Linked DNA regions of Coturnix japonica. The protein of the gene in region 1 interacts with the protein of each later gene in a biochemical or structural test. Links are inferred from orthologs where the notes say so. Each region holds a gene or a part of one and is shown in the gene's direction. Other genes may lie near its edges. The genes, in order: FBXW7, KLF5, CUL1, NOTCH1, CCNE1, SREBF1 and JUN.

What was found.
Region 2: the proteins of FBXW7 (region 1) and KLF5 form a complex in vitro, tested with the Homo sapiens proteins (2 studies listed by BioGRID, with this or other methods). The link is inferred for Coturnix japonica from reciprocal best matches to the Homo sapiens genes FBXW7 and KLF5.
Region 3: the proteins of FBXW7 (region 1) and CUL1 form a complex in vitro, tested with the Homo sapiens proteins (3 studies listed by BioGRID). The link is inferred for Coturnix japonica from reciprocal best matches to the Homo sapiens genes FBXW7 and CUL1.
Region 4: the proteins of FBXW7 (region 1) and NOTCH1 form a complex in vitro, tested with the Homo sapiens proteins (2 studies listed by BioGRID and IntAct, with this or other methods). The link is inferred for Coturnix japonica from reciprocal best matches to the Homo sapiens genes FBXW7 and NOTCH1.
Region 5: of the proteins of FBXW7 (region 1) and CCNE1, one has a biochemical effect on the other in vitro, tested with the Homo sapiens proteins (18 studies listed by BioGRID and IntAct, with this or other methods). The link is inferred for Coturnix japonica from reciprocal best matches to the Homo sapiens genes FBXW7 and CCNE1.
Region 6: the proteins of FBXW7 (region 1) and SREBF1 form a complex in vitro, tested with the Homo sapiens proteins (3 studies listed by BioGRID, with this or other methods). The link is inferred for Coturnix japonica from reciprocal best matches to the Homo sapiens genes FBXW7 and SREBF1.
Region 7: the proteins of FBXW7 (region 1) and JUN form a complex in vitro, tested with the Homo sapiens proteins (3 studies listed by BioGRID, with this or other methods). The link is inferred for Coturnix japonica from reciprocal best matches to the Homo sapiens genes FBXW7 and JUN.

The regions. Positions count from the first base shown.
Region 1 is NC_029519.1:29,877,821-29,881,764, reverse strand, and holds the start of FBXW7 (F-box/WD repeat-containing protein 7), read left to right. Parts: upstream 1-1,144; 5' UTR 1,145-1,245; exon of another isoform or gene 1,246-1,249; intron 1,250-3,944. UniProt on the Homo sapiens protein: Substrate recognition component of a SCF (SKP1-CUL1-F-box protein) E3 ubiquitin-protein ligase complex which mediates the ubiquitination and subsequent proteasomal degradation of target proteins.
Region 2 is NC_029516.1:140,002,837-140,005,381, reverse strand, and holds the end of KLF5 (Krueppel-like factor 5), read left to right. Parts: intron 1-65; coding exon 66-244; 3' UTR 245-2,045; downstream 2,046-2,545. UniProt on the Homo sapiens protein: Transcription factor that binds to GC box promoter elements. Activates the transcription of these genes.
Region 3 is NC_029517.1:75,402,806-75,405,938, forward strand, and holds part of CUL1 (cullin-1), read left to right. Parts: intron 1-902; coding exon 903-1,016; intron 1,017-3,133. UniProt on the Homo sapiens protein: Core component of multiple cullin-RING-based SCF (SKP1-CUL1-F-box protein) E3 ubiquitin-protein ligase complexes, which mediate the ubiquitination of proteins involved in cell cycle progression, signal transduction and transcription.
Region 4 is NC_029532.1:6,303,606-6,307,583, forward strand, and holds the start of NOTCH1 (neurogenic locus notch homolog protein 1), read left to right. Parts: upstream 1-1,178; 5' UTR 1,179-1,385; coding exon 1,386-1,443; intron 1,444-2,822; coding exon 2,823-2,904; intron 2,905-3,978. UniProt on the Homo sapiens protein: Functions as a receptor for membrane-bound ligands Jagged-1 (JAG1), Jagged-2 (JAG2) and Delta-1 (DLL1) to regulate cell-fate determination.
Region 5 is NC_029526.1:7,180,333-7,183,832, forward strand, and holds part of CCNE1 (G1/S-specific cyclin-E1), read left to right. Parts: intron 1-1,107; coding exon 1,108-1,254; intron 1,255-2,881; coding exon 2,882-2,977; intron 2,978-3,321; coding exon 3,322-3,456; intron 3,457-3,500. UniProt on the Homo sapiens protein: Essential for the control of the cell cycle at the G1/S (start) transition.
Region 6 is NC_029529.1:4,939,236-4,943,212, reverse strand, and holds the start of SREBF1 (sterol regulatory element-binding protein 1), read left to right. Parts: upstream 1-1,177; 5' UTR 1,178-1,320; coding exon 1,321-1,420; intron 1,421-3,446; exon of another isoform or gene 3,447-3,489; coding exon of another isoform or gene 3,490-3,538; intron 3,539-3,977.
Region 7 is NC_029523.1:23,599,187-23,603,205, reverse strand, and holds JUN (transcription factor AP-1), read left to right. Parts: upstream 1-1,425; 5' UTR 1,426-1,949; coding exon 1,950-2,894; 3' UTR 2,895-3,519; downstream 3,520-4,019. UniProt on the Homo sapiens protein: Transcription factor that recognizes and binds to the AP-1 consensus motif 5'-TGA[GC]TCA-3'.

The DNA.
Region 1 (3,944 bases):
ATATGGAATTTGCTCTTCTGTGTTTTAGGATAACAACACGACCAAGTGCTTTTTTATTGTATTTTTTATTTTTCCCCATATGCTGTGAGACTTTCTGGCGCACGGCCACCTCACACGCTTAAGGAGCAGTTATTAAATCCTTTTATTTTTTGCTACCTTCCATAATGCAGACTAGGTGAACTCGTTAAGGTCCCATATAACGACCGCCCCGTCACAGACGGCAGACACTGCTGGAACTGCTATTGGGCTTGAGATGTAGGGACACGTGCAAGCATTGCTCTGATGACAACTCGCTGACACACGCTGCAGACCGTGGGTCGGTCTCCATAGCAGCGCCAACGCGCGGCCCTCCCGGCGGCGGGGCGGGGGCACGCGCACGTGCAGGCGTGCAAGGCCTTAGCACCTCCCCGCCCACCGCTCCGCGCTCTCTCTGTCTGTGGCTCCGCCCCTCGCGGCGGGAAGGAGGCGCGTCCATCCCGCGCGCAGCCGCCGTGCTCGCTCGGTGCCTCGCGGCGCCGCCTCCTTGTCCCGGGCTGAACCGTGCTGCCGCGGCGCTACCTGCAGGGCTCCACCTTGCCCTCCGAGCGCGTCATCGCCCCGCGCCGCCACGGGGAGAGAGCGGGCGGGGCGTGTTGCCGGGTTACGGCTGTCATCCGCGCGCGCCGCCGCGCTGCTCGCTCGTTCGCTCCCTCTCTCTCTCTCTCCCTCTCTCTCTCTCTCTGTGCTGCCCGCCCGCCCGCTCTCCCCGCCCCCTCTCGCCGCCGCCACCGCGAGCAGCGGACCCCGGGGCGCCCCCCGCGCCGCCCGCACATGCCGCAGAGCGCAGCGGCCGCGTTGCCGCTCCCCGCCGCCCGGCTGGGCCTCTAGCGGCCCCCCCGCCGCTGCAGCCGGGCCCGGAGTGCATGAGAGGGGGAGCGGGCCGGCGGCGGCCCCAGCCACTCGCCTCCCGGCCGGCCGCGGCGGCGGCGCAGCGCCCGGCCCGGGGGGCAGCGAGGGGCGGCGTCGGCCCCATGTGAGGAGGGGCGGCGCCGCTGCCGCCCAGCCAGCCCGGGGCCCGGCCCCGACAGCGCCCCGCCGCAGCGGGGCTGGACGCGGCCGCCCCCGAGAAGCCGCCCGGGGCCCCGCGGCGCCGGCAGCCCCGGGGCGGGGGGCGGCGGCCGGTCCCTTCCTTACCGCCGGGCGGGCGGGCGGGCGGGCGCGCACGGAGGCAGCCGAAGGACAACCCGCAGGAGCACGGCCCGACAAGTGAGTGAGTACCCGGGAGGGGGGGCACCTCTCCGCCGTTCTTTGTGTCCGGCGGCGCGGCGCGGGACGCCGAACAAAGAACGTGGCCGGCGGGAGCGGGGCCGGGCCCGCCTCGTGTGCTCGGGAGGGGGAACCTGCGGCACAACGTGCCCGGTCGCAACGAGCGGCCACCGAGTGCGGTGTGCGTGCCGCGTGCTCGTGCGCTTTTAAAGCCCGAAGTTGGCGCTTTGTGAAGAACTTCTCTACAAGTGATCTGCCCGTGAGGCTGGGGAGCCGCTTCTGGGGCCATCCCGGTCTATGGGGATGGGTTTTGTGGGTTTCTCCTTTTTCCCTTATTTTTTTGCATTTTTGCAGACTATGATTTTCCTCTGAGCGGAAACAACAAGAACCCCCAAAACAAACAAACATAAAACCACCCCAAATCAATAAAAAAGGAAACAAAACCAGAATTGCTGTAGTGGACTGCCTTGTGCTTAACCGGAGAAGATAACATGTAGTTATTCAGTGCAGAAAGCAAGCTCTGTCCATCCCTTCTGAGTTTTGTTCCTCCTGAGTTTACTCTCACACACCGCTGTCTCACCTGGGAGAGCAGCTCAGGTGCTGTTTGTTTGCAGTGTTCAGACACAGGTGCAGGAGCCAGTTCTGCCCAAACTGCTCGTTGTGTGTTTGCCATTGGCCCTGGTTCCTGTCTCCAGCCTGGGAAGCAGAAGGGAATGCAGAGGTAGGCAGTGCCCCACACGTGTGTCGGCTTCTCTTTGAGATGTAACTTTCTGGCAGATGGGAAGAGTCTATTTTAGGCCAAGATATCTCCCTGTCTTAAGCTCCTTGTTGTCATTGCAGTCTTAAAAAGGTGTGTGCCTGTGTGTGGGGGGAAATGAAGTCTCCGTTTAGATGAAGTTTTGCTTTTCTTGCCCCAGGAGCCAGAGGTTGGGAAAGGAGTTTTCCTTCAGGTCACGGTGCTGAAGGGATGGTTGGTGCTTTTGTCCACTGCCTGTAGGAGTCAAAAGACACCGCATCTCCCCCTGCTCTGCTGTGGAGATTACATTTGCTTTTATGTCACTTCCTGGTTTCAAACTTAAATTTGCCCTTTGCTGTTCCGCTGTCCTGTTTCTAATAACATCCCCATGCTGCCTGTTGGCAGCCCCAGAGCGTTCCTGTGGGGGTTCCAGGCACACACATATCTCAAGAGAATATATGGCATCATGCTATTAAAATGTTTTTTTGGGGGGTTTAGGTAACTTTTCCTATTCTAGCTCATATCTAATCAGAGCAATTCTACTAGCATCTGTTGCACTAGCATCTGTTTGGTAGCAGAGATATTCCTTTTCAGAAGGTGCATGAGTTCGGTCTGTATCAGCTTTTTAGAGGGGCTTTAGAAAAAGATGTCATTTATATCTTCAGACTGACTCTCAGATCAAGTTCTTTCTTCCCCCTGCGTATGCATGCTTTACTTTGAAGAAGAACTTCAGTAGGATTTCTTCTCTGAGCTCTCAGGATTGGAACGTGTGTGGTGGTTTAGGCCCGCTGATGTCATTGAACCAAGTTCTGTCTCTTTAAGGAAACCAAGCATCTTTTAGTCAGCGTTAGTCATGTAGTCTGTGTGAAGTTCAGGCTGCTCTTAGCAAATGTGTTTAATCTTTTCACTGTTCCTCTTAAGAACACAGTCACACTGAGTTTACGTGCATCACATTTGAAATGAAAGTGCTGTTAAGCTGAAAAAGCTGAAGTATCTTCAGCTTTCTTTGATGCAAGTTGTGTGTATCAGGTAATTCCTGGAAGAGATGACATGAAATGCTTGTAGTCACTCCTGCCAATACTCTTCTGTGTTAAAAGGACTGTAGCTATTTGCAGAAACTGGGGGGTGAGTCTGCACTAACACATCTCTCATAGTTGCTCGATAGACTGAGGATGCTTACGAGGATTCTACAGACCTGTGTCAGCAGAGATGCGAGATGTTTGTTTGATGAGGGCTTGTACACATGCAAGTTTAGAAATCAGCTGATTGTTAACAAAATTCTTGGTCTTGCGGTTTGGTGGCACAGCCGCTGGTGCTGCTGGAAGCTGTGCTGGCTTAAACCAAAGGCTGGCTGGGCCCGCTGCCCTGCGGTCACCCCTGTGTGAGCAGCAGCGTGCGCTGCTGGCTGCTTTCCTCACGGCACCCTGCCCATGCCTGTCCCCTTGTGGCTTTGGCTGCTTCGTTCTGGGCATCCAGCCTCGTGGTGGCTTGTTCTCATGTGAATGGGGCTTGGAGGGAAGAGGAGATATGGTTTATGTAAGTAAGCGCTTCCACTTGTCAGCCCATATCTCTGAAGTTTATGCTTAAAAAATCCCCCGCGCCCTTCTCTTTGAAATAGTGGTTATCTTATGAGAGTTCTACCGAAATTATTCATGATGTCATGTCTTAAGGTATGAGCAGGTATCTTACTCTGTTACTAACTCAACATGTTACCATCAGCTAGAGAGCCTGGTGCTACAGCTTGGCTAGTAAGAGGAGATGTGAAATACTTCTTGTTCAAAACAAATATGTTTAGCTCAGATCATTTTTGCATTGTGAGCTGAGGTGGTTGGCTTCTCACTGAAGGATGAGGAGTCTGCATATATGCTTTTTCACTGGCAGAATACCGATGTGATTTCAGCAGTAAATGTTCAGGTGCAGGTTACCTATGGGAACAAGTTTTGTACTCAGACAGCTGTTCTGC
Region 2 (2,545 bases), on another chromosome or scaffold:
ACCCTGTGTCGGCACTCTTCAGAAGATGCACAGCTGACGTTTCTCTTCCTTCTGTCTGATTTCAGGTGAAAAGCCGTACAAGTGCACGTGGGAGGGCTGTGATTGGCGATTTGCGCGCTCGGACGAATTAACGCGCCATTACAGGAAGCACACCGGGGCTAAACCCTTCCAGTGCGCCGTGTGCAACCGCAGCTTCTCTCGCTCTGATCACCTGGCTCTGCACATGAAGAGGCATCAGAACTGAGAGCCATAGTTGTTGCCGAGGCCGTTCTGTATCTATGCAATTTCCTAATGACTCTCAACCTACAACTAAAATTAGTTTAATTTTTGAGGATGGATTATCCATTTAAAAGAAATCTCAAAACTGGAAAATGTATATTTTGTATATTTATGCAGAAAAAGGGAAGACACTATCACAGTACCAGAGTGTTCAAGTCATTTGTTTGCTCACATGGTGTATATGGCTTTAGTCAGCAGGTTTCATCTCTTTACAAGTATTATGTCTTGACACACGGCAGCATTACACATATTTTTTTTTTCTCTCTAGGTGTTTTGACCAAAGCAGTGTCATTATGGTGACGATGTTTAGTAAACAAATTAATGAGAGACTATAGATGAATGGACACAGTGGAAAAGCCATGCATTGTAATCTGTCAGGGTTTTACTGGACTTGTTTAGTACTTGTACTTTTTTTTAAATGTTAAGTCGTTCTGTGGAGATGAAATACGTAGAAAAATTCATAAACAGCCATAGAACAAAACATTTTGTTCTGTATGTTGCATGTTTGCTATGACAAAGATTTTGTAAATATGCAAATCAGCTTTTTAGGGTTAAAACAAAAGTTTTCTAAGAATTATTTGGAAAAAACAAAAAAAACAAACAAAAAAAAAACACAGTTGTTTTACATTTGTTAACACGGCACATTTACACTAAAAGTTATTTAAATACCTCTCAAACCAGTACCAACTTAGCTTCATTTCTCTTGAGAGAAATGAGCAAGGCATTCGGATGTTTTGTACCTGTTAACTCAGATTGTGTGCACTGAATATTCAAAGCAGGATTTTGTTTTCAAATTTCTTAAAAGGGTAAAACATTTAAAGTGAACTGGAAAGTAAACGTTGGAAGCTTAAACGGGGGGGTAGTTACAGTATAAAGAATGTTAAACCTCTTACTATAAGCTAAACTTAGTATCACTTTAAAAAGAAGGATTTAGGATGCAATTTTCATATACGGACATACTAAGCTGGTTCAGCACCAGTATGATCTGTTTTCATGTGGACATTGCGTGTAATTTACTAGAAGGTAAAGGATACAGTAATTTTATTTAAAATTACAGTGCAGTTTAGTTAATCCACTGTTCAAATGGATACGCACGGGGGAAAATTAACTGCTGACAAAGGTAGCTGAAACTCCACTGAAGTCAGTGAAGTGGTGCCCTTTTATGCTAACAGTGACTTTGATCCACAGTGTTCAGCCTTGAAACATTAAGTGAAGGGCCAAAGATGAGGTTAGCCTGTGCAGGATTTGGCCAGGCAACAGGAGAAAACGAAACAAACCAAGTAAAAGTGTCTGGAGTTCACAAGCTGTAATATTAAGCTGTCAACCAAAGGGTAAAATAAACAATCAAAATACCAAAAAAGGGTCTCGCAGGAAAATCTAGCGTTGTGAAAACTGTTGTTTGTCTTTATTTATTTGTGGTATATGATAGACTTTTTTTTTAAGACAATTTTACATATACTTGATAAATTATAGTTTTGTTTGTTATAGTTAGAAATGTTGCTCTTAATGTAAATAGTTGACAAATGATGTAAATAATTTTCTAAGGCTTCAAATGTTTATACGTGGAAACACATGCATAAATTGGTTGCTGTTTTGCTTCTTTTGCCTCCCCCCTACCTTATTTTTGTATTGTGGTATTTCCTATGCAAATGTTGGAGCAAACAGCTGTATAGTTGTAGAATGTTTTGAGAGAGAATGAAATGGTTTATATATAAAAGACTTTTTTTTTTTTTTTTTTTGCAAAATAAAACAAAGTGCCTAATGTGCGTTTGTGTGTTCTCTGTAGCTCCTGACAATTGTAAGTTTTGTGTTTTTGCAGGATGAGCTGGAAATCGCAGCAATATAAAGCCAAGAATGGCTGTTCTTTATAGGAGGGATTGTCTCTTTGGAAAGTACCTTGCCCTTCTGTGTCCAGCCCTCTTTAAAATAATAAATGTGAAAAGATTATTACTTCAGGGCTCTTCTCTGCCACTAGAACTTTAACAGAATTGTGCAGTAGCCTGAAAATAATTCCAGTAGTCCATCCACAGACACGTAGCTGGAAAGGAAAAATACTCATGGCATGTATACAAGAACTATAGGAGTTCTCTCCTACTTTCAAAATGGGTAAAAGCTGTTCACACCCATCTAGTGTTGCCCAAAAGTACTTTCTCCTCCCAAAGTCCCCTTCATGTCCCAGAAAAACAGGAGGGTCCCAAAGAAGTCTTATTCAATGTCATGTCCCCCCCAACAATCCACATCTCCTTTTCAGTATTTTTTATTGGAA
Region 3 (3,133 bases), on another chromosome or scaffold:
TCTTTTCCAACCTGAGCAATTCTATGACTAAGGATGAACTTGAAGGTATTTTTCATTACTTCATGTAGAAGTATTTAAGAAGTAGAGGGGACAGAGAAAGTAGATAGAATAAGGTAGTCCAGTTGGAACAGGCATTCAAAGACCACATTACAGTTGCCTTTCTTTTTCAGGGCTAACCAAAAGGAAAAGCACATCAATGTAGATGTTTTCTAGTTGTCCCTTGAACACTTGACAGTCTTAGTTGGGGAATCAACCACCACTGAGATTATAAATGTTCTACTCAAAGAATGTCTCAGTAAAAATAAATACATATGTAAGATTTCATGTTATACAAATATTTTATTTTGGTGGTGGTGGTACTGTTGTTCTTACTGATCCCAAGTAACATAGTTCTTAAAATTCCTATGTGAGAAACACTTGATGACTGTATTCTATGTAAAGTCTGAGTTCTAAAAATCAATGTGAATAGTTGGCGCTCTGTAGTTGTACAGGAACTGCTAATTCAAGGCCTGATTGTACCCCTAGTGAAGGGACACAGCCAGCCCTGGGAGTACAGGTGAAAGCAATTCAGGTTCCACCCCTCCCTAAGCCTCATTTAAGGGCTGGCTGCCACAAGGGAAGGATCTCTACCTGGAGATTCCTCCTTTTGGAGTATTTGGTGAGCCCTGATCCTTGGGATGGGTAAGCAAATCTTTCTTTGCTTGTGACCATCACCCTTTTTTAGGTAGGTTAGAGCTGGTTATCTGCCATTGCCTTTTCCCGCAGTAGATAAGTGTATCCCCACCTCCTGCTGAAGTTATTTTTACAGTGCTACTGTGGTAGTAGATGTGATCCACTGGAGAAATAAATTGGCTTTATGCAGGAAAAGCTTCTAAGCTTCTCTTTCTGACTTTGCTGTGCAGGCTGCTATTGTAAGAATTATGAAAATGAGGAAGGTTCTAAAACACCAGCAACTACTTGGAGAAGTGTTAACACAGCTGTCCTCAAGGTTCAAGCCACGAGTTCCAGTAATTAAGGTATGTGAGAATGATTGCTCTAACCCTATGTTCCTGGTGTTGAGTAGGATTAAATATAGCTTTCTGAATTAAAAAAGGAAAGCAAAAAAGACATCTTCAAAGGCATGGCATGGCAGTTGGCTTGGCAGTTTGTGTGGGAGGGTGTTGCCACTATGGTTTCCAGTAGTGGCTGTAATCTGCTTGTGAAGAGCTCCACCATGGCATCCATCCAGAAGAAAGTCATGTTGTCTGTGTCTCATGTGGCCTCGAGCCAGAGGAAGCAACGTGGCCACACAAATGGAACTCCTGAAGGAACACATGGCCATCCAGGTCTCAGGCACAGGGTGTGGCAAAGTCCTCAGCCAGTGGCTGTTGGTAGCAGTGAGTACACCTGTGGAAAAAGCACCCACGTTAAAGAGATGCTTAGCCTGTTGGTGGGGCTTTGGGAGGATATGGTCAGGCTGAGGAGCATCAGGAAGTCAGAAAAAGAGATGCAACAGACTCTGCGCTCTGTCGCTCCTGAAACAGACTCATCAGCCACTCAATGTAAGAAATAAGGGCTACTTTGCCCTCCCACACCAGGAAGAAAGGAGCAGATCTAAGAGATGGGGGGAATGGAAGCAAGTTTCCTTCCACATCTACCTCACTTTCCCAGATGCCCTTACACATTAGGGACAAGCAAATGACTGTGTGGATAAAAGTGCATCTGAGTTGGAGGGGTCATGTAGGGCACATCAGCCTACTCCGCATATCATGACAACTGCATTTAAAAAACAAAACAAAACAAAAAGGCTTTTTCTGCAAATGATTCTTTCCTGTGTGAGAAGATGGCCAAGCCTACTGGTGATTAAACTATGAAATGTCATGGCACTGCCACTCAGAGTGTACTGCATGCTAATAAGATCCGTAATTCTGCTTCATGAGGTTCTGAGTACCATGAAGCACATCTGAAATGCATCTACACTACTGGCATTCAGCATGAGGAACAAGCAGGAAGTGACAGTTAGAAGCTCTTCAGAAGAGACAAGCAGGGTGAGTGAGGTGATGAGGTGGTATTTTTGTAATGAAGGGAAAAGACTGTACAGAGCTGTCATTTGGGAATGATGTGGTTGACAGCCTCTGGGTCAGGATTAAGGGACAAGCAAATAAAAGAGATGTCATTGTGGGAGTTTGCTGTAGACTACCCAGCCAGGATGACAACACCAATGAATTATTCTTTAAGGAACTAAGAGAGACATCTAGATCAACTGTCCTCGTCCCTAATGGGGGACTTCAGTTTCTCAGGAATTAACTGAGAACACCACACATAATACAAACAGGTCCAGGCGGTTCCTAAAGCGCTTGATAACAGTTACCTGGTACAGGATCTTATGAATAAAGATGGCCTCCTAGATATGTTGGTTGTGAACAGAGAAAATCTAATGAGTCGAGTGGTACTTGGTGACCATTTTTGTCTTAGTAACCATGAAGTGATTGAATTTTAAATCCTTGGTGACTGGAGGAAAGTTGCCACCAAAACTTCAACTGTGGGTATGGGGAGAGCAGATTTCAGGCAGCTCAGGTAAATAGTAAAGTCCCCTAAGAAACTGCTTTTGAAGGCATTGGGGTTCTTTACTGCTCATCGATTTCAGCTTGGCTGAACAGGGCTATTCTTCTAGAGAACCTTAGGCAGGAAAAGAAAGTGTATTATCACTAAAAGCGAGGGTCAGGTAACATGAGAATATTACAGGGATGCTGTAGGGACAGGGACAGAGAGAAAATTAATGTGGTGGGAGCTTGGTTACAAGTTGAGGCTTGCAAATACTAACTAAATATGTTACCAGCAAAAGGGGAGAACCAGGAGGAGTGTTATTTTGTTGAAAATGGTCACCTTACAAATGTGGCATAGTTGGATGCAGTCTTGACCTCTGTCTTCAACACTAATGGTGAGCTCAGGCATTCCACGTGCCCCACTTAGGCTGAAGGTCTGTGACTATGGGGATGATTTTTTGCTGAAAGTTGTGTGGGGTTTTCTGCTCTTCATGGATGCATGTAAGTCTATTGTACCTGATGGGATTCATCACAGGGTACTGGCTGATACCATCACGAGACCTGTCTCAGTTATTTTCCAACAGTCTCATGAATCTGGGGAGGTCTCA
Region 4 (3,978 bases), on another chromosome or scaffold:
CACAGTGCTGGCGTGGGGGTGCCCTTCAATAGGGGAGGAGAGAGGGGGGGCACAGGTGGGACAGCACCTCACCATCAGCCCAGCACCGACCCCTCTGCTTCTTCTTCTTCTAGTACTTGGCGTCCCACACATCCCCACACACAAACAGGAGTTTCAAGCCTCGATTCTGGTTGCTCAAGTCAAAGCCTGGTTCCAATTTGCTGCCACTGCTGAGATGCGATGGGAATCATGCACACTGCATGGGGTGACCCCGTGGGGGGGAGCAGTGCTGGCAGCACAGGGGGCTGCCCCCAGGCCCAGAACGCAATTGGGTTTTGGGTGGGACGTGCCCATACTCCCATCCTGAAGGATCCAGGGCAGTGTTGGATGCTGGAGGTGGGGGCAATGGGACCTGCACACAGACCGGAGCTCATAGGGCTGCATGGCAGGGTTGGCTGCTCGTCTCCCCTCGTGCATTTGTTTGTTTGTTTGCTGCTGCAGCACATGGGCTGGGCTCTGCCCTGAGTGCAGGAGCTCACAGGGCAACACAGCAGCACCCCTGCACTGGGTCAGTGGTGTGGTGCACTGTGTTGGGGGGAATCTCACCCCAGTTGGGGTCCTGAGCAGCAGCTGCGACCCACTGGGCAGGGGGGGCTGAACCAGAGCTGTAGGGAGTTGTGTAAGGGCCTGGGATGGGGCTGCACAGGGGTGGGGGGCTCTACTGGGACTGAGGGGATGGGTTGCACCGGGGGTATGCAGGGACTGCATGGGGGGAGCTACATGGTCGCTGCACTAGGGTGTCTGGGGCTGCTTGGAGAGCCCGAAGCTGTTTGGGGTCTATACAGGAGTTACACGGAGGGGCTGTATAGCGGGTCCAGGGCTGATTGTGAGGGGTACACGGAGGGGCTCCATAAGTGTGTCAGAGCTGCACCGGGACTACCCAGGGGCTGCAAAGCAGCGCTCGGAGCTGCAAGGAGCCATGGATGTGTATACAGAACTATCCGGGACCGCACCGGAGCCGCGGGGACGACCGCACTGCAGCGTCCGGAGCTGCTTTGTGGCCGTGGGGAGGGTGGGCTCAGGGTGGGCTCCCAGCGCTGCCCCCCACGCCGTGCAGGGAGGGGCGTCCCGCTCCGTCCCATCCCGCTCCGCTCCTCGCCGTCCCGCCCCGCTCCGTCCCGCCCCCCCTCCGCCCTCCGCCCGGCCCGGCCCGGCCCGCGGGGGCTGAGCGGCCGCGGGAGGCGCCGGCGCTCGGAGTCGTTTCTCTCGGCGTTTGGGGCGCGGTGTGTTCGGGGCTCCCGGCTCGCGCCGCACGGCTCCGGTTCCGTTCGGTTCCGCTCGGTTCGAGCCGGTTCGGCCGGCGGCCTCCGGATCTATGCGGCTGTGAGCGGTGGGAACACAGAGGGATGAAACGGCTCTTGGCCACCGGGCTCCTGCTGGCCCTGCTGCCCGCTCCGACGCGAGGTGAGGGCCCCGGCCCGGCTCCGGCACGAAGTTTGCCGGCAGCTCGGCTCGGAGCGGCGGGGCGAGGCGGTGCTTCCATCGGAGGCGGCGGGGGGTCCGAGGGAAGCGGAGCGTGGAGCCGCCGGGAGGGTCCGGAACTCGGGAGTGCAGCGGGGGGAGCGGAGCGGGCTGAGAAACGGGGACGGAACTTTGGAGTTCGGCACCGCGGGGCCCGGGCGGCCGGAACCGACGGGGGGGAACCGGGATCGGTGCAGCGGGGATTCCGCGGGGAGCGGAGCCGTCGGGGCTGCGGGCGGGCAGAGCTACCGGTACCGCTCGGGGTCGCGGTACCGGCCGTCGGGGGTGCCCAGAACTCGGTGTTAAGGGCGGTGGGGGTCGCGGTGTTCGGTTCTGAGGGTTGTGAGGGGTCTCGGAGCTCGGTACTGAGCACTGCGGGGGTGTCCCTGTGCTCGGCCCCGAGTGCTGTGTGTGTCCCGGAGCTCGGGACGGGGTTCGGCTCCACGGAGTCTCACGCATTGGCCGCTCTCGTGTTGTTGTTCCGCGAGAGTTTTTTGACCGTTTTGCAAATTTTTTCTCGGTTTCCTGTTTCTTGAAAGTCAACCGGGTGCCCCTCGGCCCCCCTTCCTTAACTCCCCCCCCCCCCTCCCCCCCCCCCCCCCCCCTTCCCTCCCTCCACCTCCTCCCCGGCATCGGCCCCGGGGCGGATCCGTGTGCGGGGCCGCAACGTGCGGAGCTGCCGTCGGGGCCGGAGGGGGGAGGTGGGCAGTGGAGCCGCCCCGACGGACCGAGTAGAGCTGGAGCCTCTCGGGACGCTGTTTGTAGGGGCAGAACGCGGCCCGTCCGCCGGGGCTGATGGGGACGCTCCGCTGCCGTCGGGGGGAGGTGGGGTTTGGGTTGCGACGCTGCGTTCACTCAGTGTGAAACTGCTTTGACTGCACCGAGAGCGGCAGAAGAAGGGGAAGAGTGAAGCGGGGTGGAAATCGGAAGCGATTCTAGTACTTTTCAGCGAGTTGCTGTAGTAACTGAGCAGAATCCGGCTCCGAGGGCCAGACAATGAAACCTTTACTCATAGCAAGTTGTGCCGAGCGACTCATTTCGGGACTGAGCTCGTGGCGACCCACGGGCCCTGCAGGCAGATGGTTTTTCCCAAGTGCTATTTGTCACTCAAATACCCGACCCGGAGCTTCTCCCCATCCACCCTCCTGCTTTAACAGGCAGAGCCCACCCCCAGGACCACCCCAGGTTAACTTTAGGTCGCCCCTTTCCTCTTGGGGCAGTGTAGTCCTGCCCATTAACGTGGTCCCTGTGAGGCCATCCCTGCAGTGGGGTGCAGACCCCCGGGCTCTGTGCTGTGCCTGATGCTCTCCTTCTATTCACAGGTGTGCGGTGTACACAACTGGCTGAATCCTGCCTCAACGGGGGCAAGTGTGAAACTTTCCTCAATGGGACGGAGGTGTGCCAGTAAGTATGGAGGAGCAGAAGGATTTCCATCTCCCTCAGCCGAAGCATTGACGTGCCTGTTGACTTTGCTTTGAAGGCTTTGGATTTAATAGGGCGAAATGCGTTTTCTTTCCTTGAGTGGCAAGAATAACCTGCTCCGGTGTAGGAGTCGCCGCGGGTTTGGCAGGATCAGGCTTTGTTCCTGGCTGGGTGGAAAAACATGGGCAGAGGGCCACGTTTGGCTGGTGTTAACCCATCAGAGTGCCCCACTGATGGAGCAGGAGGGAGGGACAACGGGGGGTGGGAGGGCTGTCTGTCTATCTTCCAACCCCCCCCCCCCTTCCTGGCCCCATTGCGTTGTCCTTCATTCCCTGGCAGCTGGTGCTGCAGTATCCAGGGCATCTCCCATAAGCATCCAAGGGTGGCTGTGTTGTGTGGGTGTCTGTCTGTGGGGCAGTGCCACGCTGCCATCCGTGCCCACTCCTGGCATGGGGTGTTCTCAAGGCTGATGGTGGGGAAGCGGATGTGTAAAGCCTTGGGTCCCTTTGAAGGACCACCCGACCCACCGCAGCGATGGCCGATTCAGTCTGGGCTCCCAGGGAACAATAACCCAGAGAAATGAATAAGAGTGCAGTTCCCTTTTTAAAACTATTCCATAAAAGAAATCTGAATGGGCAAGGCTCTGCTTTCCGGCCAGATTTCCCCTTTGCCTGTTAAACACGGGTTGAGCTGAGAGCGGGCTGGGAGACGTTCCCACCCACCCCAAGTTTCCCAATAGGAAGTTCTCGGCGGAGGAACCCAAAGGCATTTCCAACCCCGACCTGTTGAATGGCACTTCTCCTTGACAATGCCTGCTGCTTTTCTGTGCCTCTGGGTACCGTTACTCTGCCCGCAGCGCCTGGGCAGCCCCCACCCCCCTCCTCCAAACGGAGCCCCCCAAAGCCTTTGGTGAAAATAAATCAGCAAATCAATCAGGCACATGAGCAATTTAATGGACAAAGGCTGGGTCCCTTTGTGAGCCACTAATGAATGCACGCCACTTTTTTTTCTGCACAGAAGCCCTTACCAACGCGTGACGCTCTAAATCTTGTTTTC
Region 5 (3,500 bases), on another chromosome or scaffold:
AATAACTGTCATCTGCACTTATCATGATGTTTCATAATTCATGTAGCACTAGCTACTTGTCTTCTTATTACGTTTGTCAATGAATGGTACCAAATTAAATATATGTATTCAAATATGCACACGGTGGATTGATTTGATGGTACGTGAACTGACCGTATATTGAGATATTAATTTAAATGAATTGTGTATAATAATCAGTTTGTCCCTAAAGCTCCACAAGGTAACTTCAATGTCACGCAACAGATTAAATCTGCGTGATTATTTAAGTTACTGTGACTAGGAATGTGTGGTGTCTTATAGACTAGATGAATCTCACAACATAGAGTGATAGAATGGGTCAGGCTGGAAGGAACCATAAATATCATGTAGTTTCAACTCCTTGCCATAGTCAGGGCCACCTTTCACTAGACCAGGTTGTCCAAGACCCCATCCAGCTTGGACTGGAGTGCTCCCAAGGATGGGGCATCAACTACTTTCCTGGTTTCAGTGCCTCACCACGCTCTACGTAAAGAACCTCTTCCTAACATCTAATCTAAATTTATGCTCTTTTAGTTTAAAGCCATTAGTTACCCCATGCTCTATCACTATATTTCCTGACAAAAAGTCCCTCCCCATCTTTCTTGTAGGCCCTTCAGATACTCGTAGGCTGCTACAAGTTCTCCTGGAACTTTCTTCTCTGGTATTGGCTTGTAGAATGTATAGCAAGTCTGCTGTCTTTATGGGAGTACTTTTGGTGTTTGAATGATTTGATATAATCTCTGCTCTTGATTCTAAAGCAGTTGTGAGAATTTTCTCATCTGAGGTATTGAAATAATGCGTGTTTGTGAATATGAGGAACTGATGTTCCAGTACTGTCATAGCACGCTCCCATTTCATAGAAGTGCTTTCACTTGGGTTTATCTTCATGAGAGGGGGGATTTACTGTAGTGCTGGTCATCTTGTGAGTCAAAGGAAACAGCTTAGCTCCTGCTCTTAGTTAACATGTCAGGTTTAGTATCAGTGAAGCAGAAGTCAAATATGAAATTGAGAAACCTAGACGTGTTTTGAATAAATCTGTAGCATCTGATGTTGACTCTCTAACGCTGTTCTTCATCTTTGTCTCTCTAGGTTTGCGAAGTCTACAAGCTTCATAGAGAAACTTTTTATTTAGCACAAGATTTCTTTGATAGGTTTATGGCAACACAACAGAATGTTGTAAAAACACTATTGCAACTTATTGGGATCTCTTCTTTATTCATAGCAGCAAAGCTTGAGGTAAATATCTCTGGTGTTTATCTAAACTTAAAAATGTGATTGGACAAACAGCGCACTTACTGTACACTAAATGCATTTTGGCTAGCTTTTATTTTCAAAATCCTTCCTATATTTTTAGATTTGGCTAAAATTAGGGCTAGCTAAGACACCACTATCTTTATTTTAAAAGAATAGTCTCTTCAGTGTTAGAATCATTCAAAATGTTTTTAATCATTGTTGCTAAATGAGTTTTTGGCTGGCTGCTCTATGCAGAGACCACTTGTAGCAATTCTGCTGTTGGTGGAGTACCTACTGGATAATACAATCCAAGCCGTTTTTATTTACTGGCACAAACTGAGCTATTAAAATAGGGCTTCTAAACTTCTCACTCTTTGTCTTTTAAGAGGCTTATTGATGTTTGATTTGTTCCTAAGCACAAATTATATTGCTGCTGTTGTAGTTGAACCCAGCAGGTGGCTCAGCACCACAGTCATTTGCTCACTCCCCCCTTCCCAGTGGGCTCACTGGGGGAGAGAATCAGGGGGGAAAAAATGTATAACTTGTGGGTTGAGATAACACTATTTACTAAGACAGAAAAAATAAGAAGGCTAATAGTTACAGATATGTATAACATATATGTATATATATATATATATACACATGCATAACAAGCAATGGGCAAGCAATTGCTCAGCGCCCCACAGCCAATGCCCAGCTAGCCTCCCAAGCAGTGGAAGAGAGTGAGATGAACTTCCACCCCCTCCGAACGCCTCCTGCATGATGTCATAGGGTACGGAATATCCCTTTGGCTGGTTTAAGTCAGCTGTCATAATTCTGTTCCCTCCCAGCTCCTTGGGCCCTTTGCTGAGAATGGCCTTGGCTCCGTAAAACACTGCTCAGCAGCAGATGTACACATTGGTGTGTAATCAACATTGTTTTTCTCCTGGAAGCGAAACATAGCATCATACCTGACTTTGTGAAGAAAGTATTTCCAACCCAGCTGGAACTAAGACAGCTGCTTAATCATTAGGCTTCATTGTAGAACTCTGCTTAAGGTGAAGCTTACACTTGTTGAGCAGTTAGGCCAGGTTGTATCCTCATGTTGAAAAGCAGCTTGGTTCTGATGGCAGTGTTTGAGGGGCTCTCTGTGATCTGTTTCCTATTCACTGGAGTATCCGTGGTTAATTAATATTTGTTTGCTACTTACAAGACCTGAGGTCGTTTCTCTAACAGCTTTTGTAGGGCCGTATACCCTGGTAGGTGTGCAAACATCTGTGACCAGTAGAGCTGTATCTAAATACAAGAGATAAAAGATGTTTTCCACAGGCTGCATTGAAATAATCCTGATGCCATTTACAGTATGCTGTATGCACCTCAGTGATGCAGTCAGTCAATACATGTTGTACTGATCTATCAGAAGTCAAAGGTGAAAACTATCCACAGAGAGGCTGAAAAAGAAATCTATATATATTAAAGGCAGAGGAGAACACAATGAGTTAGGATGGGAAGGAGGGTTATTTTCCTTCTTTTCCCCTGTTATCTATTTTGAAATGCTGGAGTGGCACTGGGATGTTCTTCTCAGTACATGGGAGGACTGGTTAGGACCTATTTGTTTAACTGAATACTTGATTTTTTTTCTGTCTCTCAGGAAATTTATCCACCCAAGTTGCACCAGTTTGCCTATGTTACAGATGGAGCTTGTACAGAAGATGAAATCCTCAGTATGGAATTGATCATTATGAAGGTAATATTTCAAAGTGGAATTTGTCCTTTTTTTGTCTTAAAGGTATAGCATAATCAGACTAAAAGCAAGAGCCTCAGTTAATCTTATGTGCTGGTAAGAGACAATTTCTAATTAGAAAACAGTGTCCTCTAGGTAACAGGTGATTTAAAGCATCCATCAGTACACAAGTATTTAACAAAATGAATTGTTTCCTTCTATCAGCAGGAGGGAGGTATGGGAAAGAATTGATTTGCGTGTTCCAAAAATGCCTTGCCCAGCTTACTGCCTAGAGTAAATAAAGCTGCGTGGTCTCAGTTAGGAACACTTTGTTAATACTCAAGTGCTGTGTATGTCTACTCTTGCAGGCTCTTAATTGGAACTTAAATCCACTGACAGTTGTATCGTGGCTAAACATTTACTTGCAAGTTGCCTATTTAAATGAGCTTTACGAGGTATTGTTGCCACAATATCCACAACAAATATTTGTACAAATAGCAGAGGTAAGACCGATTCCATCCTCTAAATACTATTTCATTTGAAAAAA
Region 6 (3,977 bases), on another chromosome or scaffold:
CCTATCCCTATCCTCCTATCCACAATCCCATATCCATCCCATCCTATCCCTATCCCCATCCCCATCCATCCCATCCCCATCCCGTCCCTCCCCGCTCTGTGATCCCTCCCGTCTCTTCCCGGGGCGGTTCCTCCCCTCTCAGCCCGTCTCTCTGATCGGCCCCACGTGGATCCCCGCCGGGCCGCCGTGATGTCACGCATCCCCGCTCCGTGATGCCGGATCACCCCACTCCTCCCTTCGCTCCCATTGGCCGCTCCGCTCTGGTTCTACGGGCGGGGTTTTTCCCATCACCGTCATCCCGGGTTGTCCCGCCCCGCGCGGCCCCGCTCGCTCCTTCCCTCGGGGGCTGCGGTTCGTGGTGCGGGGCAGCGCGTGGTGCTGAGCCCGGCTGGGTACACGGGGGGCACGGAACGGGAAAGCAGCGCCGTGTCGGTGCCGTCTATTCCCCCTCCCGCGTTGTGTGATGCGGGTCGTTGCCCGGCCCCACTCAGCGATGCCCACTGGGGGTCCGTGCCCTCACCCAACACACACACGTGGGGTCCCACAGACCGTCGCTGCCCTGCGGGAAAAGGGAACGGAGCTCGGCTTCTCCCCAGCGGTCCGATATGGTCCGATATTCCTGTATTCGCAGCCGCCCGGAGCCGCCCCATGGCGCGTTGTGGGCTCCCAGGGTTGGGATATGGGGCGTCTTCAGCTGCGGGTGGGGATGTTGGAGCAGCGCTGTCCTGTATCGCAGCGGTGCCCCGCGGTTCCCTACAACACACGGGGCTGCACAGGGGGCGGGGGGGGAGGGAGCGGTGCAGGAGACCCCCAGCTCCATCTGCCCCACGAGCAGCCTCGGTTGGGTGGGCCAACTGTCAGGGCTTTGTTTCCCCGGATGGTTCCCGGGGCTGAAACAAAAGGTGGGTGAGGATGAACCCAGAAAGGGCCCTAAAACTTCATCACCCTCAAACCGCAGCGCCCTAAAAATACAACACCCTCAAACCTCATTGACCCCAACCTGCAGCTCCCCGACCCCGCAGCTCCGTAACACTCCGGAGGGTCTCAGCACCCCGCACCCACCCCGCAGCGCTGCCTTCCCCCGCTCCCGTCCGTGCGCGCTCCCGCAGCGGGTCCCGGTGTTACCGGGGGGGGGCGGGGACCCCGGGGGGGGGGGCGGGACGAGGGGCGGCCGCTCTCAGGGCCCCCCCCCCCCCGGCAGCAGGTTGGGGCACGGTGCGGCCGCGCGTCCCCGTCCCTCCGCCGGATTATGCGGCGACCGACCCCGCTGGGGCGGCCTCCCCGGTCCTAAAGGCTCCGCCGCCCGTAAGAGCCGCCGCGATGAGCGCGCTCAGCTTCGACGATGCCGCCCTGGAGGGGTTGGCCCTGGAGCTCCGCGCGGCGAGTGACATCGACACGGCGCTGCTCAGCGACATCGACGGTGCGGACGGGACCGGGACCGGGATCGGGCCGGGGAGGGAAGAGGCGGCGGGGCCGGGGCGGCGGGTTCGGTGCTGCTCGGGGAAATGGTTCGTGCTCGCGGGGTGTCGGCTCGGTGCGGTACCGGCGCTCGGTGCGGGGCAGCGGGGCCGGGCGATGTTACGGACCGTCCGTGCGCGGTCGGTGCGATGTACCGGGCGGCGGGGCACGGTCGGACGGAGCGAACCCGGTGCAGAACCGGTCCGGTTGGGGCGGGGACCGCGCTCGGTAAAACCGTGTGTCATTCGGGGGCAGCTCAGCGCTCGGCGTGGTGCGGGGGGTGACGGGCCGCTGGGGGCTGTAATATGGGTGGGGGTCGCACGGCGGGTTCGGTCCCGGGACGGTTCCCCTCCCCCATCGCTCAGCCTTGTGTCGCCGCCAGCCCCGCCCCGCCGTGACGTCATCGCCGGGGTTACTCTCGGTCGTTCCTCCTGGCTTCCCCCGCCGTCGGGTGGGGGTGGGGCGGCTCCGCGGGGCATCCCCGGCTCCGGTCCACAACTGACCCGCAGCTCACGGACAACGTGGGGCTCCCGGGGCCGCTCGGAGCTGGAGCTGCTTCCTGGGGGCTCTGCGGGATGGGGACGGTGCCAATTGGACACAACCGTGCCACCAACTGGGACCCTCTCGTTGGTACCAGTGGGACCGGACCCCATCGTGCCACCAAAGGGGGCTCATTTACCGAAACCAATGGGACACAGTGATGTCTCCAAAGCAGACCCGATCCCCAGTGCTAATAGGACCCAGTCATGCCACCAATGGGGACCCGATCCCCAGTGCCAGTGGGACCCAGTCATAGCACCGAGGGGGACCCGCTCCCTGGTGCCAATGAGACGCTCTTTCAGGTGCCAGTTGGACCCATCCAGCAGGACCCCCCTCCGCAGCTCGCAGCCCAGCCCAGCAGGCAGCAGCCAACCTGCACCAGGCAGCACGTGGTGCCGCTCCGCCCGGGCTCGGTGCGCGTCGGGGCCCCGAGGCTCCCAGCACAGACCGGCAGAGCCGGTGGAGCACGGAGCGGGGCGGGGACGGGGCGGCAGAGCCCCCGAGCGTCCCGTGGGGCTGACGGGCCCTTCGTGGGGTCGGTGCTGGGATCCCCTTCTCCGCTGACAGCCGAGGCTGGAGCTGAACCCAGTCGCCCCACGGGGTGACCTTTAACTCGTTGTCACGCTGGAGGGGAAGCGGCGTGTCCTGATGCACCCGGTGCACGGCAGGACTTTGCCTGCGAGGCTGGCGTCCCCTCTGCCCTCCTTGGACACAAACCAGGGCTGAGACCACGGCGGCCTCTGTTTGCCCATGAGCTGCAGGGAGCAGAGGGATGGGCAGGTGGGGGGCGGATGTCCCTATTGGGGGTGTTTCCTGACACCTTGTACTCCGTATGGAGACAGGCTGGGTGTGCTGCTGCTATTTACAGGGAGAGCTTTTGCTGACGGGCACTTATACGTACCCTTCCACACTGAGCGTGATCCCAAGGGCTCTGTGTGTCCCCATCCCCATGTGTTTATACTGCAGGGTGTAAGGGGCCCCGTGGGGCAATGCATGGGGTGAGACCATCCGTGTTCAGCAGTGCCATGACCCACCGTGGATTTACCACTGTCTCCATGTCCCTGTGCCCTTGTTGATGACATGGTTGGGTCCCACTGAAAATCTCATCTTGGAAAAGCTCCCCATTGATGTAGGCGTCCCAGGGCTGGGGGTGCTCCATGGGATACAAACACCCGCTGAGGCTGGGGGTATCCCGGGCTGAGGATGCACGGAGGGACGCTGGTGTCACTGTGGGATGTGGGGACACGCAGTGAAGGAGTTAATGCTGCCTGACCTGGAGTAACCCTCTGCTGGGTGCCCGCGAGTGACCCGCTGCGCTGCGCTCACCTTGGGGCTGCCTGGGGGCGGCCGGCGGGTGCTCGGGCAGCGATTGGCGGAGTCACATCACCCCACGGCCGGCTCCGCTCCAGGGCTGGCGCGGGCGGCAGCGGGGAGGGAACGTGGGGAGGAGGCGAGGAAATGGTTTGAAAATAGCCCGCTGCGTTCAGCGCAATGCTCAGCCGCCAACACCGGGATCTCACCCTGCCCGCCCTGCTGGGAGGTATCCCCTGCTGCTCCTCGTGCTCTGCCGGGTGTATGGGGCGCCCCTTGGGGTCTGGGGGCACTCGTGGGTCACTTTGGCATCTCTGGGTACCGCGCTGTGTTTGGATGCTGCCCAAATGAAGGTCGCTCTATGGGGGCTTCTCAGAGCAGCCCGATGTGTTGGGGTGTGTCAGTGGGGATGTCCCCAGTGCCCCGGGGTGCTGGGATGCAGGGCAGACCCCCAGGCTTAATGCTGGTTAACTCTTCATGCCCTACTGCCCGCCTGGGGGTGAGTGGGGCAGCACATGGTGCAGGGGTTGGAGGGGTTTGATGCACCATGGATGTGCCACCTCCCCGTCCCAGCCCCAGCTCCTCAGCCCTCAATACAGGGGCTTTTTGGGACTGTCAAGGTTTTGGTGTCTAGTTTGTAATGAATGAGCTGCCCCATTTTGTCCCCC
Region 7 (4,019 bases), on another chromosome or scaffold:
TGTGTAAAGCTTAGGATGGAGCTAGGAAGCTGCTTCTAACACAGACGACTTTCAGAGGCTTTCCTATACACATGCAGTAACTGCTGCTGGAGCTACAGAGGCAGCTGGAATTACCTGCACACAGGTGCTCATTGCCTACCTGAAGGCTGTGCACACACCTGCAGCAAACACTAAGGCCCACATTTGTGGGCAAACTAATTCACTTGACTGTTAGCACAAACATGCACAGGTATTGGCTGTGTGATTCCAGCACATGGGTGAAGTGGATACACTGAGTGCAGCCAGGTGTGCACAGCAGGGAGGACCGGGAGATGACTCTATAAAAGGAGCAGTAACTTCTATCAGTCAGTGCATCCAGACATTCACTTTTAATTCACAGCTCTTTTTGATTCTGTTTATTACATTGCTCCCTCCCGTACTTTAAGTGCTAATTATGTTATTACATCTAGAAGAAAAAAAATAGCACTTAAGAGTTTTAAAGTGCATTTTCAAACCGAGACTTAAGTTTGTCAGCTTCGTATGTCACACAAAGCGATGGAGCCCAGCAGCGAAGCAGCAGCGGCAGCACTTGTTGCCCCGGGTTCCCGTCCCGTCCATCAGCCGAGCTGCGAGTCCCCGGTAGCTGTGGAGCAGCACAAACCTCCCTCCCCGACCGGATCCCTCCATCTCCAGCCGTTCCCCTTGGCCAAGCTGCGCTCACACACTAATACCAGCACAGCTCTACAACCGGGAGGACAACTTTAGGAAAACCCATCCAGAGCCAGGCTCCTTCCCGGCAGCTTTTTCCCCTCTCATACTTTGGGGAGCTCCCGGCCCTGGGAACAGACACAGCGCTCACCGCAGCGGCTGAAGGCAGGCGGGGCTGAGGGCAGCCGGGCCGCCCGTCCCCGCCCGCCGGGGCTCCCCGGGACGGGAGGAGACGAGGCCGAGCCGCCCCCACCCCAGCGCCGCCCGCCCTGCGCTGTGCCCCCGTGCGGGGCGGGGGCGGCCCCGGCGCTGTGCGCGCCCGCCCCGGCCCTGCCTGGAAGCGGCGGGGGCAGCGAGGCGGGGAAATCACGTGAGGGCTCCCCCGGAGCGCCACCTTCAGGGCCGTACCAACAACGGGACCGGGGGGGGGGAGGAGGCGGCGATGCGGCGGGACTCAACGCGACGTGGAACGGAGGAGCGCGGCCCGGCCCCGCCGCACGCAGCATCTCGGCCCCGAGCGCAGCACAACGCACGGGCTGAGGGCGCGGGGCGGCTCGGGGCGGCATCGCGGTGCCCCGGTACCCGGTAGGGCAGCGGTTGGTTGGTACGAGGCCGTCGAGCCGCCCAACCCCGCTCGGAGCTCGGGCCGCGGTAACCAGATATTCAAAAACAAGACGTCAGCCCACAATGCCCCGCGCCGCCGGCAGCATTACCTCATCCCACAAGGCCCCGCGCCGGCGCTGAGAAGCTTCTAGGGGCGGGGTGTCCATGGCGACCGGCTGCCATGCACCGCGCCGGGCCAGCGCCACGCCTCCCCCGGGACGGGCGGCGGCAGCCAATGGGGAGCGCGCGGGGTGACATCATGGGCTATTTTTAGCGGGCTCCCGGTCGCTGATAAGTGAAGGGCTGCACGGAGCGAGCGGGCTCAGAGCGGGGCGGGCGGCAGCGAGAATCAGCCGCCACAGCGGGCACGGCCGAGCGGAGCGCGGAGCCGGGAGGTACAAGCGGCAACGGCGGCAGGAGCGGCCCGGCCCGGCACAGCGCGGAGAGGCGGCCCGGGGAGCAGCACAGCGCACAGAGTACAGAGTACAGCGTACAGCGCACAGCGCACAGCGTAGGCCCGGCGGGCCCGGCCCGCGCCGGGAGGAGCGGCGTTGTCCCGGCGAGAAGTAAGGAAGGCTCCGGCTTGCTCTTTCCCCCCAAGCCGCTTGGCCGGGAGCGGTGTGGGGCGGCTCCCGGCGCCACTTTTTGGGCTCTGTTCTATGAGTGCAAAGATGGAGCCTACTTTCTACGAGGATGCACTGAACGCCAGCTTCGCGCCGCCGGAGAGCGGCGGTTATGGATATAATAACGCCAAGGTGCTGAAGCAGAGCATGACGCTGAACCTGTCCGACCCGGCCAGCAGCCTGAAGCCGCACCTGCGGAACAAGAACGCCGACATCCTCACCTCCCCCGACGTGGGGCTGCTGAAATTGGCCTCCCCGGAGCTGGAGCGGCTCATCATCCAGTCCAGCAACGGGTTAATCACCACCACGCCGACCCCGACGCAGTTCCTGTGCCCCAAGAACGTTACCGACGAACAAGAGGGGTTTGCCGAAGGCTTCGTGAGAGCGCTGGCGGAACTGCACAACCAGAACACGCTGCCCAGCGTCACCTCGGCCGCGCAACCTGTTAGCGGTGGCATGGCACCTGTGTCCTCCATGGCCGGCGGCGGCAGCTTCAACACGAGTTTGCACAGCGAGCCCCCGGTGTACGCCAACCTCAGCAACTTCAACCCCAACGCGCTCAATTCCGCACCCAACTACAATGCCAACGGCATGGGCTACGCGCCGCAGCATCACATAAACCCCCAGATGCCAGTGCAGCATCCCAGGCTTCAGGCTCTGAAAGAAGAGCCTCAGACTGTACCTGAAATGCCGGGGGAAACCCCTCCCCTGTCCCCTATTGACATGGAGTCGCAGGAGAGAATCAAAGCCGAGAGAAAACGCATGAGAAACAGAATCGCGGCGTCCAAATGCCGGAAAAGGAAGTTGGAAAGGATTGCCAGGTTGGAAGAAAAAGTGAAAACTTTGAAAGCCCAGAACTCAGAGCTGGCATCCACTGCCAACATGCTCAGAGAACAGGTTGCACAGCTTAAGCAGAAGGTCATGAACCATGTCAACAGCGGGTGCCAGCTAATGCTAACACAACAGTTGCAAACGTTTTGAAGAGACTGACTTCAATAGGAACTGTGATGTTGTGGTATAACTAAACGACAAACCAAAAGCGGCGGACGCGTAAAGCTCACGGTAGAAGCTGGGAGGCTGTGAGTCCTGCCTGCGTGCTGCAAAGCACATGTGTGCAAAGACTGGGCAGCCTTCAGCTCGAGTTGGTGAAGCAGCCGGCACCGCTCCGAGGTGCTGATCCTGCTCCCATGAGGCGACAGATCTTCGTTTAACATTGACCAAGACCTGCATGGACCTAACATTCGATGATCATTCAGTATTAAAGGTTAAACTGCAATAGAAACTGTAGATTGCTTCATGTAGTATTCCTTAAGAAACAAACAAACAAACAAAAAGCGGGAGGGAGGTTTGTGGGAGGCTGATAAACAACCAAGAACTGTTGTTCCTGCCTTCAAGTAAATGGTGTATGTACATATCCTTTTTTATTTTATTTTATGAAAGTTGATTAATGTCAATAAACTACTTCATGACTTTGTAAGTTATTTTTATGTTGTTTATTTGGGTACTGCCCAGTATTGTTTGTAAATAAGAGGCTTTTTTTTAGCACTCTGAGTTTACCATTTGTAATAAAGTATAATTTTTTTAATGTTTCTGTTTCTGGAAAAAATCTAGAAGGTTCTATTATATTTAAAAAAAAATAAAATACTTAAAATGCATTTCCTCCTCACACCTTTTTCATTATTATTATTATTATTATTATTGCTAGTATGTGAGTTAGGAAAATGCCCTTAATGCTGGACTCTAAAGGGCAGGGATTATGTGAAACTCGCTCTGTAAGTGCAGGCATGTCCTGGAGAACGTGTGAGGAGGAGACGGGGGGAACCAGATCCTGAGCACTGAGCAAACAGAACTTTTTGAGTTGTCTGGGAGTTCCAGTTCCTAACCTTAACCTGGGAGGTTATTGTGTGTTGTAGTGGCCCTGCTGGGGCGGCTGACTTTGGCTTTAGGCAGGCTCTAGAGATGGTAGAAAGCCGGTGTGTGAAACTGCTTTGCACTTGTATCTGGCTGCTTGTGCTCTTGCATGCTTTTTATTAAGCCAATGCCCTCGAGCAGGATCAGGCAAGGGGCTGTTTGCTTTCCTTTGCAACAAAAGTGCTCTAGACTTCA